2 linked regions of the Lepisosteus oculatus genome follow. The protein of the gene in region 1 interacts with the protein of each later gene in a pairwise test. Links are inferred from orthologs where the notes say so. Each region holds a gene or a part of one and is shown in the gene's direction. Other genes may lie near its edges.

Region 1 (7,374 bases):
CTTACGGGCTTCTCCACCAGATGGAGCCACTCATTGAGGTAGTTCACTAGTGCAAAAGCATGTGGCATATTGTCACCTTCGGAGCAGAATATCAACAGCACTGCTAATGGGATCCCTTCTGAACAGCTGAAATACAGAAATACACAAATCTCTCCCAATATATGTTTGCACTGCACAGAAAATATCAGTTTTATTCAGACAAGTCCAGTACAGAAAGTGTGGTGAACTGTATGTGTCGGCACACATGGTTAATCTAGGGTGACAGTTATAAGAATGTTTTCTTTTTATTGTATTCAGTATTCATAAGTAATAATTACAATTTATAAATGTTTGCTTCCTAGTATTATCTACTACACCAAAAGGAATAGTTTGGACGGGGGTTACTCCCAACTTTTTGCCAATATTTTACAAGCAGGACAAATCTACATCTTTGTAGAACACAGTGTACGATTGATCAGAAATGCCTCCCAACAAGACCCGTAGGCTTTTAGTTCAGCGGGTCTGGAATCAATCCTGAGAAGAGCCTGACAGCCTTACACTGACAGACCCGATATAAGTATTCAAATTCTTCAAAGACACTGACAAAGTCAACCCTGTGAGCTTTTTTAGAATTCACTAGAAAAAAAAAAGGAGTAGAAATGGACAGTGAATTAATGTGAACTTGATTTATTTGTTGGCTTTCTCTATATAACCTTAGGGCTCTGGCCTGTACGTTCAGATGCATGCTGATTTCTCTCTAGATCGTTTGGTTTGTTACATGTACATCCAGCATAAAGCTCCCATGCTATTTCAATAAATTAATTTGAATTTAGCAATCAGATTGGTGGAATACAGACGACTTTTAACTCAGCGGGTTAATTTAAAGAATAAGGCCCTGGACACTAGTGTAAAAGGGAGAATAGTACATTTAGCAGTGCAGGGTTCACTGAAAGTCCTGAACGCCGCAGTCTCGCTGGACGTACCAGTCAGCGTAGAGGGTTTTAGTGACACCTCCTCCAGGGATGTACAGGCGTTGCTCCGTGTCACTGATCCCCGGAAAAGCCGACACCTTCTCCATCTCTTTCCAGTCCAGCTTCTGCAGTCCATCTCCGACAACGCTCTGCAGGGCAGGAGTGAGCAAATAGCGCAGAGGAGTGCTGGAAGCAGAGGACGGAATATTTCTTTTTTGTCAATATAGTCAACCTCATATAAGCATAGAGATCCAAAAGACCAGGACAGCGATTCAACGAGCCCAGTTATAGAGGCTGAGTGTGGAGCGAGCACGAGCAGTGAGGAAGGAGACTTCAAGAGCGTAGATATCGATGATCGAGGAGCAGTAATAATGCACACAGCCAAGGTGGGCCTCTCTCAGCCAGTCCCATGTGGTCAATTTAGCATTTTCCAATTGACGACCGTGTTTGTTTTATTATCATCATTTTTTTTTATTTGATGTTTTGTGCGCAGTTCAATTTCCTATGTGTGCTGATCTCGTAACCTGTGCGTGCGCTTACCCGCCCACAGCTCAGAGGGAACATTGCTCATACCACACATTACTACACAACAATTCAACTAATGTAATGCTACTTTGCGTTAAAGGTATAGGTTAAAGGTACTTTGCGCAGGATAATTGTCCATCCAGAACATCGGGAAGAAAAGGTTTAAACGAACTAAAGCTTCTGCCTGTCTGCTTTATTCTTTATTCTTATTCCCCTCAACATTGTGCTGCTGAAAGACCACACAGAATCAGCAGTAAATCTGCTAGCCACTTGTTTTTATCTACTGGGTCAAAGAGCCATCAATGTGAAATACTACATTCATCACAGAGAAGAGAAAGACAAAATGACATAAAACCGAAGATTAAAGATGAGAGGTCTCTCACCTGAGGAGCTGACGGTCATCCCGATGATGAGCATGACAGCTAGACAGGAGGACAACTTTGGAGAATTTGTTTGTCTTGATCCAGGAGACAACACGTTTCCGAAACTGCCTGTATTTCGTCTAATAAGGCAAGAAAGAAACGATTAGACCTATTCCTGTAAGTTGAATGGTCACAGAAAAGCTGTACTAACAAAATGACAGACTAGCTTTTTTACAAGTAATAGAGGTTTATTCCATGCTGAAAAAAAAGAAGAAAGAGAACACAACGTTTCGGCCGTGGAGCCTTCTTCAGGTCTGGGCTTGGTCACACACCAAGGTCACACACCTGAAGAAGGCTCCACGGCCGAAACGTTGTGTTCTCTTTCTTCTTTTTTTCCAGCATGGAATAAACCTATTACTTGTTCCTTTGCAGCCTACGCATCTGACGCAGCTACCCACCTGAACTAGCTTTTTTACTACCCATAATTTAAACTCAAAGGAATGGACCATTGTAACTTATTATAATACACTTATTATGAAAGCCAACAAAGCTGCAGAAGTATACAATAAAAGTGATATAATGAATGCGACTTCACTAGCACTGAATGTGCGATTATAGGTTTATGTACTTTTCTTCTTGAACATTCACTACACTTCGGTGGGGCTCTACACAAATATAGTAGTCCTACTTGTGGTGGAGTTAATTACTCCGTCTACCTTCTTAGACAGGTTAATTACCCTTAATGACTTAATTAGTCTAATTAATTCATCTAATCAGCCTACTTAGCCTCTGGTCCATAGCTTCTTACCTGTATGATGGGAGCCCGGATCTGAAGGACAGCCAGCTTTAAGTCAGGCAAAGAGTACACTGTGCACAGACAAAAACAGAAAATGCCACTGACATTTCTTTGGATGTAACTTTTTATCATTAAATCTATATACAGTACTAAATACATCTGTAACACAGAATGTGCAGACTTATATGGAAAGAGGCACAGCACTTGAATTGTCAGAATGTTACATACAATTTTGGTCACTACATCATAAAAAATCATTTGTTGTTCTTTCATCAGTCCAGCAAAGAACCACCAGACATTCAGGGACTGAATGGAATATCCTATACGAACAGGCTACACGCACTGAACCTTTTTCATCTTGAACACAGAAGACTACAAGGGGACCTGAACCAAGTTTTAAACATTCTCAAAGGCACTGACAAAGTCAACCCAGTGGTCTTCTTTAGAATAAACAAGAGGACACAAGTAGAAACTGACAGTGAATAAACGTGAGCGTGAATTATTTGCTGGTTTTCTCTAGAAAAGCTTATGTTCTGGCCTGTATCAGAAAAAGAATATCCACTGTAAGTGTGAGTTCAGATGAATACTGAACGTTCTTTTGGTGGACTACATGTACGTCCAGCATGAAATTCACATATTATTTCAATAAACGTATTGATTTAAATCTACAACACTTAAAGATGCAATAATAATTTATAGATGCAAATTATTATGCATTTTAAGGATGATCTTAAATCACTACATAGCCTGAACCTGCTATAGTACACAGCAGATCGGTTATTTACAAGAGTTTGAGAACTACAACAAAACTACCACACATTCAAGACAAGCTGTGTCAGTTTGGTACGGGCTATCTAAAAAATCTAAACTTCGTTGCATCCAGACGCGTTGATGCATATACGTATCTTTGATGAGCAGAATCCGTCCACATACTAACCTTCGGCATTTGTACTGAGTTCAGATGAATCTTCTGGCGATGTGGCATAGGGATTATTTCCTACCATGGGTACTAGACAGTCACTGTGGAAATAGCCCACTCGAGGCATGTGAAGGGTAGAAATGACCAGGTCTGTTGCAAACTGTCCCACGTTTCCCACCGATACCGCCGGCTACAATCAACCACAGGATAACAGCAAAGTAAAGGAACGGAAAAATATATAAGCCCTTTTTTAACATGTAAATTAACAACTAGAAAAAAACAACATTAAGCATAATGTAAAACGTCTAACTTACCATTATAAGGGTAAACTCTTTGAAAGAGGGCGCTGAGCACCCAACCGGAATAAACATGTTTGCGAGTAAGAAAAATAGACAATTCGGTAAAATGATTTTTAACTGTACTAATGTGTACAGAATGACAACTTTCCGTTTCACTACAACTCCATGCTACTTCCAGGGTCCTTCCTTGACATGACGCTCGCTTGGAGTCTGTTACGTTGAGGGTGGACTTATATGGTGCCTGATGAAAACTAAAATGACTTTTTGTTAGACACAAAATATATAACGAAAATGTCATTATCTTTAAAAAGTATGGACAAATATATAAATTGGGTGTAATATGTGTGCTATTTCCCTTTGCTGCATTTTATTTTGTGCAAGATTAAGTCGGGCACTACAATGGATGGCTTCCCGCTGGCTTTTCCGCCACGGTTTGAAAGTTCTGTCTGCTCGTTGGTTGTTGTGGGGAGGAGACGAGCTTGACGGTTCAGACTGCTGCTTTCGAAAACCTGGAAAGCGAAATCAGCCCCCCTTTTTTTTTAGTTTGACCAGTTTCAATTTAAGTAAGCAGGGGGAGTGTGAAAGTAGTCACGTAATTAAATAAGTAACGATTTGTTCGTTGGGACTTCTATACAGTAGACGTCCTCTGTGAGCATGTCTCTTCCACCAGAAAAGGCTTCTGAGCTGAAACAGATCATTCACAACCACTTGACAAAGGTGAGTACAGTATTAGTCTCACCAGAGACGCCTGCATGCTTTGGAGAAATAATATGATCTTAACCCATCGTCCAGACTTTCCAAAGAAACGAGTCCGGAGCTTAAAGTTTGCGGGAATAATGTTGTAGCACTCGAAGATACTTATGGGCCACTTCAGTGAAAGTACAGGTAGCTAATGTGACAGGTAACAGTCCGTCTTTCTAAGCTGTTCCTGCTGTCATGTTTTCGGCTTCAGGTTGAGCATTCAGTCGGTAAGGTTTCCTCCTGGTTTTAGTTGCCCGATTGCTGTGCTCTGTCCACGGTTCTGAATTGTTGTCTGATCTCTTAAATTCCGGACTCTGTAGTTGCCAACATTAAATAGTTCCTTTGGCCTACAGTTCTTAAAAAAAAATATTTGAAATCAACTCAAGCATTTTTCGAAATAATCAGATAACCATCATCGCACTCTGCAGACCCACTGGGGAAGGCCTTGGTACAGAACTGTGCTTCTTGTAGGTTCAGTGCGACTAAGCTTTAACGCATGCTACTGTATTAGCACTCAGAAAATGGGCGTATGTACCACGAGAAATCATATTTTAATGTGAAAATTTTAATCAAGATCGTGTTCAAGCTGTATGCGGCGTTTATTTGAAGATACAGTGTAAACAATTTTTGTTTTCATCATTCACATATCTTCTACGGTAGTTTGATTCCAGCGAAGATGAAAGAAGGCCTTTGGTCCAATCCACCTCTTATGTTAGTAGCTGATTGCCGTTTCTTGCCTGAAGCCAGGGTACAGGCTACAACACAATGTCTGGGTAGTTTGATTCATAATACTCTCACCCTTTCTGGGATAAAGAAGTAATAATAATAATAATAATAATAATAATAATAATTGCTTACACTTATATAGCACTTTTCTGGACACTCCACTCAAAGCGCTTTTACAGGTAATGGAGACTCCCCTCCACCACCTGGATGATGCGACGGCAGCCATAGTGCACCAGAACGCTCACCACACATCAGCTATTAGTGGGGAGGAGAGCAGAGAGTAATGAAGCCAATTCATAGAGGGGGATTATTAGGAGGCCATGATTGGTAAGGGCCAATGGGAAATTTGGCCAGGACGCCGGGATTACACCCCTACTCTTTTCGAGAAACGCCCAGGGATTTTTAATGACCACAGAGAGTCCGGACCTCGGTTTTACGTCTCATCCGAAGGACGGCACCTGTTTACAGTATAGTGTCCCCATCACTATACTGGGGCATTAGGACCCACATGGACTGCAGTGTCTGCTGGCCCCAATAACACCTCTACCAGTAGCAACCTAAGTTTTTCCCAGGAGGTGTATCTAATGGATGTATCTAATGGATGCATGTGCAGATCGATATCCATGGGAAGATCCGGGATGTCTTGGCTGAGACCGTGCGGGAGGAGCTGGGCTCTGGACATCACAATCTCTCGGAAGAGGACTTAATACGGGGTTTGCAACGAAGGGGGATCGTCGATGATGTCATGAAGGACCTAAGCTTTGTGCAGGTGAGTGTTTGATTCAGATCAGGATTACAATCCAGTTTATCTCGCGGTATCTTACCGACGCAGAAAACTATCTCTGTTTTCGGTTGTTTCCATTTTAACTCTGTATCTATGTTTTCAATAATAATAATAATAATAATAATAATAATAATAATAATAATAAACTTTATTTTATATAGCGCCTTTAAAGGTGGCTTCTCAAAGCGCTTTACAGGATGACAATAACAATAAATAAGAAGACTACAACAATAAATAGGAAGATTTCACAAGATAAGACACAATTACAATTACAACAATAACAATAGAGGAGACCGTGGAAGGTGGTACTAAGAAGAGCAGAGGGGTGAAGAATGGAACCAGTTAAGTAAAGGCTTTTCTGAAGAAGAAGGTTTTGAGTCTGGATTTGAAGGAGTTTAGAGAAGCTGACTCTCGGATATCCTTGGGCAAAGAGTTCCAGAGCTTGGGGGCATAGCAGGAGAAGGCCCTGTCGCCCATACAATGTAGACGGGCTTGGGGGACAGTAAGGAGGGCTTACTTAATAATGAAGGAAGGACACTTATTTGTTGGGAAGTGTGCTGTTAAGTACATGATACTGTATAAGGGTGACATGTTTTCCCCCCGTGAAGAAATCTCCTGATGTCTGTTTCCCTTCCCTCTGTGTGTGTGGCCTGGATTAGGAATTGCCAAGCAGAGAGGCCATCTCTACTCCTAAACCCTCAACACATTTTGTCGACAAGGAGCCAGCACAACTCAAGAAAAGTAAGAAAGACTTTTAACGATATGCAGTGCAATAATGTTTGGTCCATTCAGTTAAATTGGAAGAACTGAACTGGAAATTACCATTTACCATTTTAATGGCATATTACATAAAGGCAAAAAAAAAAATCTTACAATAGGCAGTCTGATTTACTTCAGGGTATGCGTTAGTGTTAGCTTTTTGACTCCGAAAATACTGGTTTAACGGTTCGCTTGTGCTACAAAACTATCGTGCAGTACTTCCTTGCTTTACTAAAAAGTAGAAATGGGATTTTTTTACTGAGTGTGAACATGAAGTAATCCTTTTGTCACTGTTATTTATCGATTACTTTAAAATGAGCCTAATTCTAACTCCATAATCGCATTAATGGCCCATCGGCGTCTCCTAATTGAGGTTAATTTCTTTTCCAGCCAACATTGACCCAACAAGAAGGTACCTTTACCTGCAGGTTCTTGGGGGAAAGGCTTTTCTGGAGCATCTCCAGGAGCCTGAGCCATTACCTGGGCAGGTGTGCTCCACATTCACCCTGTACC
Region 2 (7,323 bases), on another chromosome or scaffold:
GGGTGTGTTGCCCGATCAAGGAACAGAAAAGGCAGGATGAGATCTTGGGGGTCAACTAGCTGCTCAGCACTGTGGGAGCGAAAAGGGCTGCATCTCGTCTGATCCTGTTCTTATCCTCCCTTGTCCCTGTCAGGCATTCACGGGATCAGGGAACCGACTGGACGGCAAGAAGAAGGGCATCGAGCCCAGCCCTGCGCCTCTGGACCCCAACGACATCAAAAGGTCTCCCACCCGCTCACGCTGGCCTGTCTGTGCGTTTCCGTGTCGCAAAAAGAGCTCGGGTCCCCTGGTCATCTTCCGGTAGCAAAGGGGCCAGAAAGGAGAACATTAGAGAAGGGAAGTTAGGGAATGACTTCCCGCCCAATCAGAGCATGCCGATTCGTTTGCCAGCTTCTAATTCAGCCAATCCCAGAGCGGGGATCTTCTGCTGGGAGGTACCGTCTGGGCCTGGAGTCTGTGGCAGTGGTCCCCAGCTCTGGTGCTGGTGACGAGCACACCTGTTTGTTCGTGTTCCAGCCGAGCCCTCAGTTTCACAGTCAGACCCTTCACATGAAGATTCATTCGACCTGCTTGTTGTTAAACATGTTGGGGCTTTAACCATTGTATTCAGAAAGTAAAAATAGCTTGGGGTCAGATCGCAGGGTCAGCCATTTATACGGCGCCCCTGGAGCAGTTGGGGTTAAGGGCCTTGCTCAGGGGCCAAACGGAGTGGGAATCCTCTGCTGGCTGCGGGCGCAGATACTTAGCCACAGAGCCACCACTCCGCCCCATTAACTTGATGACATGCACGGATGTTCAGAGCCTTCAAAAAACAAAAAGCCAATTTTCTAAAAAAATGTTTGAGAATAGAGATTAGAGCCTACCTAAATGTATTGTGGCTTCTGGACAGTTCTTCCAAGAACTAGGGATTTTTTTTCTGGCGCAGGGCAGAAGGGTAAAGCTTTTGGAGAGGCAGTGCCTCCTGCCCCATGGTGGGAGGGCAGTGTTGATGACCGGTGCACTGGTGATTCCATCTTGCACACCTATTACTGAAACATGGTTTTATATATGAAGACGGCGAGGCCTGTCGGTAAGCAGGACGAGGGAGGCAAAGGGGGAAGTGTAGGGAATCGCTGTATTTTCAGGTGTTTTCAGCTGCGCACCGAGCTCTTAGACATCACGCATCCTGGGAGGTGTGTGAGCCGAGATCCCGCACTGATCCGCAAGGATTCGGCTTGAAGTGACCGGTGGTTTTCCCCTCTCCCTCAGGGGCATTCCGAACTACGACTTCAGGATGGGGAAGATAACCTTCATCAGGAATTCACGGCCGCAGCCGAAGAAAATAGACGATGTAAGTGTTAAGGAAAGAAAGAAATAGTTGCCCTTTTTTGTCTTTGTCCTTTCAACTTAAAAAGAGATTCAAGTTCTGAATTTGTCCCTGCATGTTTTAACTCGGAAGCAGATGAAATCAAAACTTAACTCCCCTGCGTTAATCCATTGTGCAAGATGGCTGTGCAAGATGGCTGTCCAGCTGTCAGTAGGCGGCGTTCTTTCCTCTAAAACAATTTCCACACCAGTAGTGACCAGATTGCTACCGTAGGAGGTGCTGTCCTTTTGGGAGAGACATTAAGCTGATTACTTGCTCATTAAAGACCTCTTGGCCCTGTAGGGGTGTAATCCTGGTGTCCTGTTTAAATTCTTGAACAATCTGGCCTTCCTAAAGTCCCAGCTTAATTCATTTAGTGAAGCAGCTTGTCACTCCTCCACCTGATAGACTGTGCAGAAAGGTGCAGCCTGTCACTCACCTTGGGCTGCACTTCAGTGGGGGACAAAGTGGGGATCCCCTCCCATGTCAAAATAGCAGTGGAACAAAGTGGGGTTCCCCTCCCATGTCAAAATAGCAGTGGGGTCCTTCTCGGTTTTATATTGCACTTTAAATCCCGAATTCATGTGCTGGTCGTAGTGTTTTAATTAATAATTAGTAATTATAATAATTGCTTACACTTATATAGCGCTTTTCTGGACACTCCACTCAAAGCGCTTTACAGGTAATGGGGATCCCCTCCACCACCACCAGTGTGCAGCCCCACCTGGGTGATGTGACGGCAGCCATAGTGCACCAGAACACTCCCCACACACCAGCTCTCAGTGGGGAGGAGAACAGAGGGTTGTAGCCAATTCATAGAGGGGGATTATTAGGAGGCCATGATTGGTAAGGGCCAATGGAAAATGTGGCCAGGATGCCGGAGTGACACCCCTACTCTTTTCGAGAAACGCCCTGGGATTTTTAATGACCACAGAGAGTCAGGACCTCGGTTTTACGTCTCATCCGAAGGACGGCGCCTGTTTACAGTATAGTGTCCCCGTCACTATACTGGGGCATTAGGACCCACACAGCCCGCAGGGTGAGCGCCCCCTGCTGGCCCCACTAACACCTCTTCCAGCAGCAACCTTAGTTTTTCCCAGGAGGCTTCCAGCCAGGTACTGGCCAGGCTCACACTGCTGAGCTTCAGTGGGCTCAAGCAGCTGTGGAGACTCCCTCCTGGTTGCCAGGCGTGGCGTCCAGCTGTCCCATGCACTGGGGCCCTATGCCTGTTGAGGCCGCTTCCTGAAGAGAGCCTAACGAGGCGCTGTCTGCTGTCCGTCTCCACTGTTCTGCAGGAGGATGCCGTGAACAGGTTCATCGCCTTCTCCGGTGAGGGCCAGTCGCTGCGCAAGAAAGGGAGGAAACCCTAGGACCCCCCCCCCTGTCAAGCAGGGAACGGACAGAGGGTGGACACGCAGGCCCTGAGCTCCGACCCGGACCCACCAGTGACGAGTGAAATCAATTTGCCGACGGGTAGAGCCAGACTTCCTCTCTGCGTGTCCCTCACTTCGGAATTCGGAGCCCCAGAAGAGTTTTTTTTTTCCTGGTTTTCATTCAACAAAGAATTTTCACACAGGAACAAACTTATGGAAAAAGATTGGGGAAGAAAACAATTGTCCTACAGATATCGGAATTATTTCACATAACTGCATTATAACTTTTGGTTAATACAATACAGGGATTCACTGTTTTGCTAATTTATGTACTATATATATCAAAACCACTTAATACTTTTAATAAAGCCGATATAAACCCACTTATGAGTGCTTTTATTCTTCATCTGTATTGTCTGTACAATTTGAAGAGGCAATATTTTGTTTTCTCCTATATGGTGCAGCAGTGTGATTTGCAGATCCCTGTGTTTAATTTCAGGGATGTCATTAAAGAATGAAGTTTTCTGAGGTATTGGCTCAGAAACGTTCGGCCCTGCAAGGTTATTTCCTGGGCTGATAAGAAAATCTTCCAGACAGTTTAAAGAAATCCTTATAGCATTGAACACATGACCTGACAACATGGGCACTAATACAGGTACTGAAATCCTAAAAGTTCAATAGAAAATCGATCACGCACGGGAAACAGCAGAGACTTCTTCACACAATGGTTTGTGGTTGTAGGATGCGAAGGGCCCACTCGTGTTGTTGAAACATCAGCATTGACATCAGGGTGAGGATTAAACTGCCTTACTAAGGCAATTAATTAGCCAGCAGCCATATCACCCTGCAGCTCCCAGCTGGCAGCCCCACTGAAGCCCAGCAGTGTGAGTCTGCCCAGTACCTGGAGGGGAGACTCCTGGGAAAGCTAAGGCTGCTGCTGGAGGAGGTGTTAGTGGGGCCAGCAGGGGGCGCTCACCCTGCGGTCTGTGTGGGTCCTAATGCCCCAGTATAATGATGAGGACACTATACTGTAAAAAGACGCCATCCTTCTGATGAGATGTAAAACTGAGGTCCTGACTCTCTGTGGTCATTAAAAATCCCAGGGCGTTTCTAGAAAAGAGTAGGGGTGTAACCCCGGCATCCTGGCCAAATTTCCCATTGACCTTTACCAATCATGGCCTCCTAATAATCCCCATGTCTGAACTGGCTTCATCACTCTGTTCTCCTCCCCACTGATAGCTGATGTGTGGTGAGCGTTCTGGTGCACTACATCAGGTGGGGCTGCACACTGGTGGTGGTGGAGGGGATCCCAATTACCTGTAAAGCGCTTTGAGTGAAGTGTCCAGAAAAGCGCTATACAAGTGTAAGCAATTATTATTAAGGCTTAACTGGACTAGTTCCTCCCTCTTACCACAGGGCTGAAGCTCCTGCTGATCTATAAAGCTTGCTGGGATTGGCACACTGGCATGGTGGTGGGTGTTGCTGTTGCATGATTCCAGGGTCCTGGGTTCGACTCTGACCTCAGACACCTCTGTGTGGAGTTTGCATGTTCTCCTGTGTTGTTTTGAGACTTTTTGCAGGGTGGTCTGGTTTCTTCCTAAATGCACACAGTTTAATGGAATGGAAAAGTAATTTTATTAGTAGAACTATGAATGGATGAACCCCCTTTATCTTTATGAGAAAGGCGTCTAACTGACTCGCATTACCACATCAGGAGCTGAAGGGCAAGTGATTACTTAGGAAGCAAGCCTGGTGACAGGAGCGCAGGGAAGAGGGAGGGGGCAGAGCGTATGCCCTGTCTGTGATTGGCTGACCAGAGAACAGCCTCAAAACTTCCTGTCCTTGCCGGAAGTCCTGCTGCTCACGATGGCGCTTTGGAGGGTAAGCTTATAAATTTGGCGTTAAATATTTCGAATATGGTTTGTGGTCTCAACAAAAAAAAAGTACGGATCGATTAGCTGAATGACCGGTAGCTTCTCCGCAGAGTAAAATCCATTAAATAACAGATACGCCGGTGTTCACCGAACACTTCTGTTTTTACCCTGGTAGTTACCGTTATACATTTTGAAATGAGCTTACTCTTGAATACTGAATCATTTCTGGCACTTCATACTTAACCCTAATAGCATTTTCCTAATAGCAGTAAAGATATTTCTAAATACGAGTTTTAAAGATAAAGAAATGAGCGGAGCATGGTTAAGATGGTAAAGCCAGCAGCCATATCACTCTGCAGCTCACAGCTGGCAGCCCACTGAAGCTCAGCAGGGTGAGCCTGGTCAGTACCTGGAGGGGAGACTCCTGGGAAAAACTAAGGTTGCTGCTGGAAGCGGTGTTAGTGGGGCCAGCAGGGGGTGCTCACCCTGCAGTCCATGTGGGTCCTAATGCCCCCGTATAGTGATGAGTACATTATACTGTAAACAGGCGCCGTCCTTCGGATGAGACGTGAAACCGAGGTCCTGACTCTCTGTGGTCATTAAAAATCCCAGGGCGTTTCTTGAAAAGAGTAGGGGTGTAACCCTGGTGTCCCGGCCAAATTTCCCCTTGGCCCTTACCAATCATGGCCTCCTAATAACCCCCATCTCTGAACTGGCTTCATCAGTCTGCCCTCCTCCCCACTGAGAGCTGGTGTGTGGGGAGCGGACTGGCGCATCACCCAGGTGGAGCTGCACACTGGTGCTGGTGGAGGGGATCCCCATTACCTGTAGAGCACTTTGAGGGGAGTGTCCAGAAAAGCGCTATATAAGTGTAAGCAATTATTATTATTATTATAAGATGTGTATAGGTAGATGTCTATAGGTTGCTCTTACTGTAAGGGTTCTCGCTGTGCTCTCTGCCCTTGCTGGCGGGAGGAGTGACCTGCGAGCACTGTGGGGAACAGTTTCACCTCCATGTGCTTCGCCTGCAGCCTCCCCGGTCCTGCGCCGACTACTTGAGCGAATACAGGCACTGCAGGAGCCTGATGAACCGCCTGCACCACTACTACACCTTCGGACGGGCCCCTTCGTGCCAGCAGTGGAAGACGGACCACTACAGCTGCTGCGAGTGGGAGAGGCACCGCGGCTCGGAGGCCAAGGTGAGCGCCGTGCGGACCCTGGTCACCCTTGGCCTTTCCGTTGATCAGCAAGTGGTTTGTTCAAGCTGTCTGTTGATCCATTTTTCCTCGGCAGGTTCTTATATCGTAGCCTGTTGGGATTTACTTCTCAACATAACCTTAGTTCTACTCCTTATAAGAAAGGGCATGTGTAATAAGTCAGTAGTAAGTCTAATACGTTCCTTCTACCAAAGGTCTCGCTGTGTTGGTGGTTAGCAGCTAATCAGTCCAAGGTTCTTACCCTGGCGCCTTTCAGAAACGGCTGGATAGCGGCCTCGACAACGTGCTTGGGTAGCGCGTTCCAGACCCCCGCAACTCTTCGTGTAAACGGCAGACGCTGCGGTTCGAGGTGCCGAATGCACTTCTCACTCTCAGGTCTGCGCTCAGAGGAGGTTCAATGATTTGAGCAGGGTGACACAGCGCGCTGGTGGCAGCGCCTGGGTTTGAACCAGGAACTCTTCGCCGATCAAGCCTTTGCTTGGACCGTGTGGCCTCCGCCTGCCAGTTGTGGCGCAGGGAGAATTGGGTTTGGGGAGTTTGGGCACGAGGCACAGCGATTAGACGGCGTGAACCCTGTTTCTGTGCACCAGTGACTTTCCTCTGTGACCACAGGAGGCCTTGCGGGACAGCGAGCGAGCCAGAGTGGAGCAGCAGAGGGGGTTCGTGCCCGTGTGGGAGCTCCGGCAGACCCCCCCAGCGGACTGGCACGCGCCCCTCCAGCAGGGGAAGCTTAAGGGCTCCTGAGCGACGGGGGGAGGAGCCCAGCTGCCCTCCGTGATGCTGTGACAACAGCAGGACTGCAGCCAGACCTCTGCCACCACCCGGAACTGTGTGTCGGCTTAAGGCCGGTCCAGCATTCGTCAAGTTCTCGTGAAGAGATGCACACGACTGACGGCGTTTCTTCAGGACCTGAGCTGAGATCTTTCTGATTAAATACAGTACCCGTCCCATTCTAGTTTGACTGCTTATTTCCAGTTTGCCTCGAGGCAGACTACCGGCGCAGAACCAGAATGTCTGTCTTCGTCTCTGCTGTGCACCCAGCCAGGATACAACTGGGTTATCACTGACATTTTCTCTTCCATTTAATGTAAAAAGCATCGTAGCTGTGATTGTTTCAAATTGAATCGGAGCAGAGATTTCAAGATCTCGCAAGGTACGGTACTCTGTTTAATGCAAGTTTTGCATGTATAAAAATGAATAATGCTTTCTCATCAGTTTAACTGATGTAAATGTATTCAATGTAGATGTCCATTACTGTGTAACATGCTCCTAAAAATTTCAGAAAAACAACTTTCACACCTTTGTTGGCTTTTGTTCACATCCAGACATGGTTTCACAGGAAACAAGAAAACGGTGTTGAATTTTATATAAATTTATTAAATATCTAGACAGAACATGGTGAGCTCTTGGAGGGCATCTTGTTTCCAATCCTGGGTTCTCAAGTGAAGTCGTTTTTAGGCAGGTCTATATATTGCTTTCAAGGTCACGGTTGCTTTTACAGTTGCATGCCTGGA

Evidence for each region. The genes of interacting proteins can lie anywhere in the genome.
Region 2: the proteins of cep76 (region 1) and c22h22orf39 interact in binary tests that used the Homo sapiens proteins (3 or more experiments, as listed by UniProt). The two-hybrid records come from large-scale screens. The link is inferred for Lepisosteus oculatus from reciprocal best matches to the Homo sapiens genes CEP76 and C22orf39.

What each region holds. Positions count from the first base shown.
Region 1 is NC_090705.1:9,336,102-9,343,475, reverse strand, and holds the start of cep76 (centrosomal protein of 76 kDa), read left to right. Parts: upstream 1-4,316; 5' UTR 4,317-4,505; coding exon 4,506-4,568; intron 4,569-5,931; coding exon 5,932-6,087; intron 6,088-6,761; coding exon 6,762-6,843; intron 6,844-7,251; coding exon 7,252-7,374. Other genes in the region: psmg2 (proteasome assembly chaperone 2), read right to left, coding at 6-126, 963-1,136, 1,859-1,977, 2,646-2,704, 3,571-3,742, 3,867-3,923. UniProt on the Homo sapiens protein: Centrosomal protein involved in regulation of centriole duplication. Required to limit centriole duplication to once per cell cycle by preventing centriole reduplication.
Region 2 is NC_090717.1:1,244,724-1,252,046, forward strand, and holds c22h22orf39 (synaptic plasticity regulator PANTS), read left to right. Parts: upstream 1-4,490; 5' UTR 4,491-4,584; coding exon 4,585-4,599; intron 4,600-5,623; coding exon 5,624-5,791; intron 5,792-6,421; coding exon 6,422-6,553; 3' UTR 6,554-6,757; downstream 6,758-7,323. Other genes in the region: ufd1l (ubiquitin recognition factor in ER-associated degradation protein 1), read left to right, coding at 134-222, 1,249-1,330, 2,641-2,715. UniProt on the Homo sapiens protein: Negatively regulates long-term potentiation and modulates adult synaptic plasticity. Stabilizes the interaction of RTN4 isoform A/Nogo-A with its receptors, inhibiting clustering of postsynaptic AMPA receptors at synaptic sites.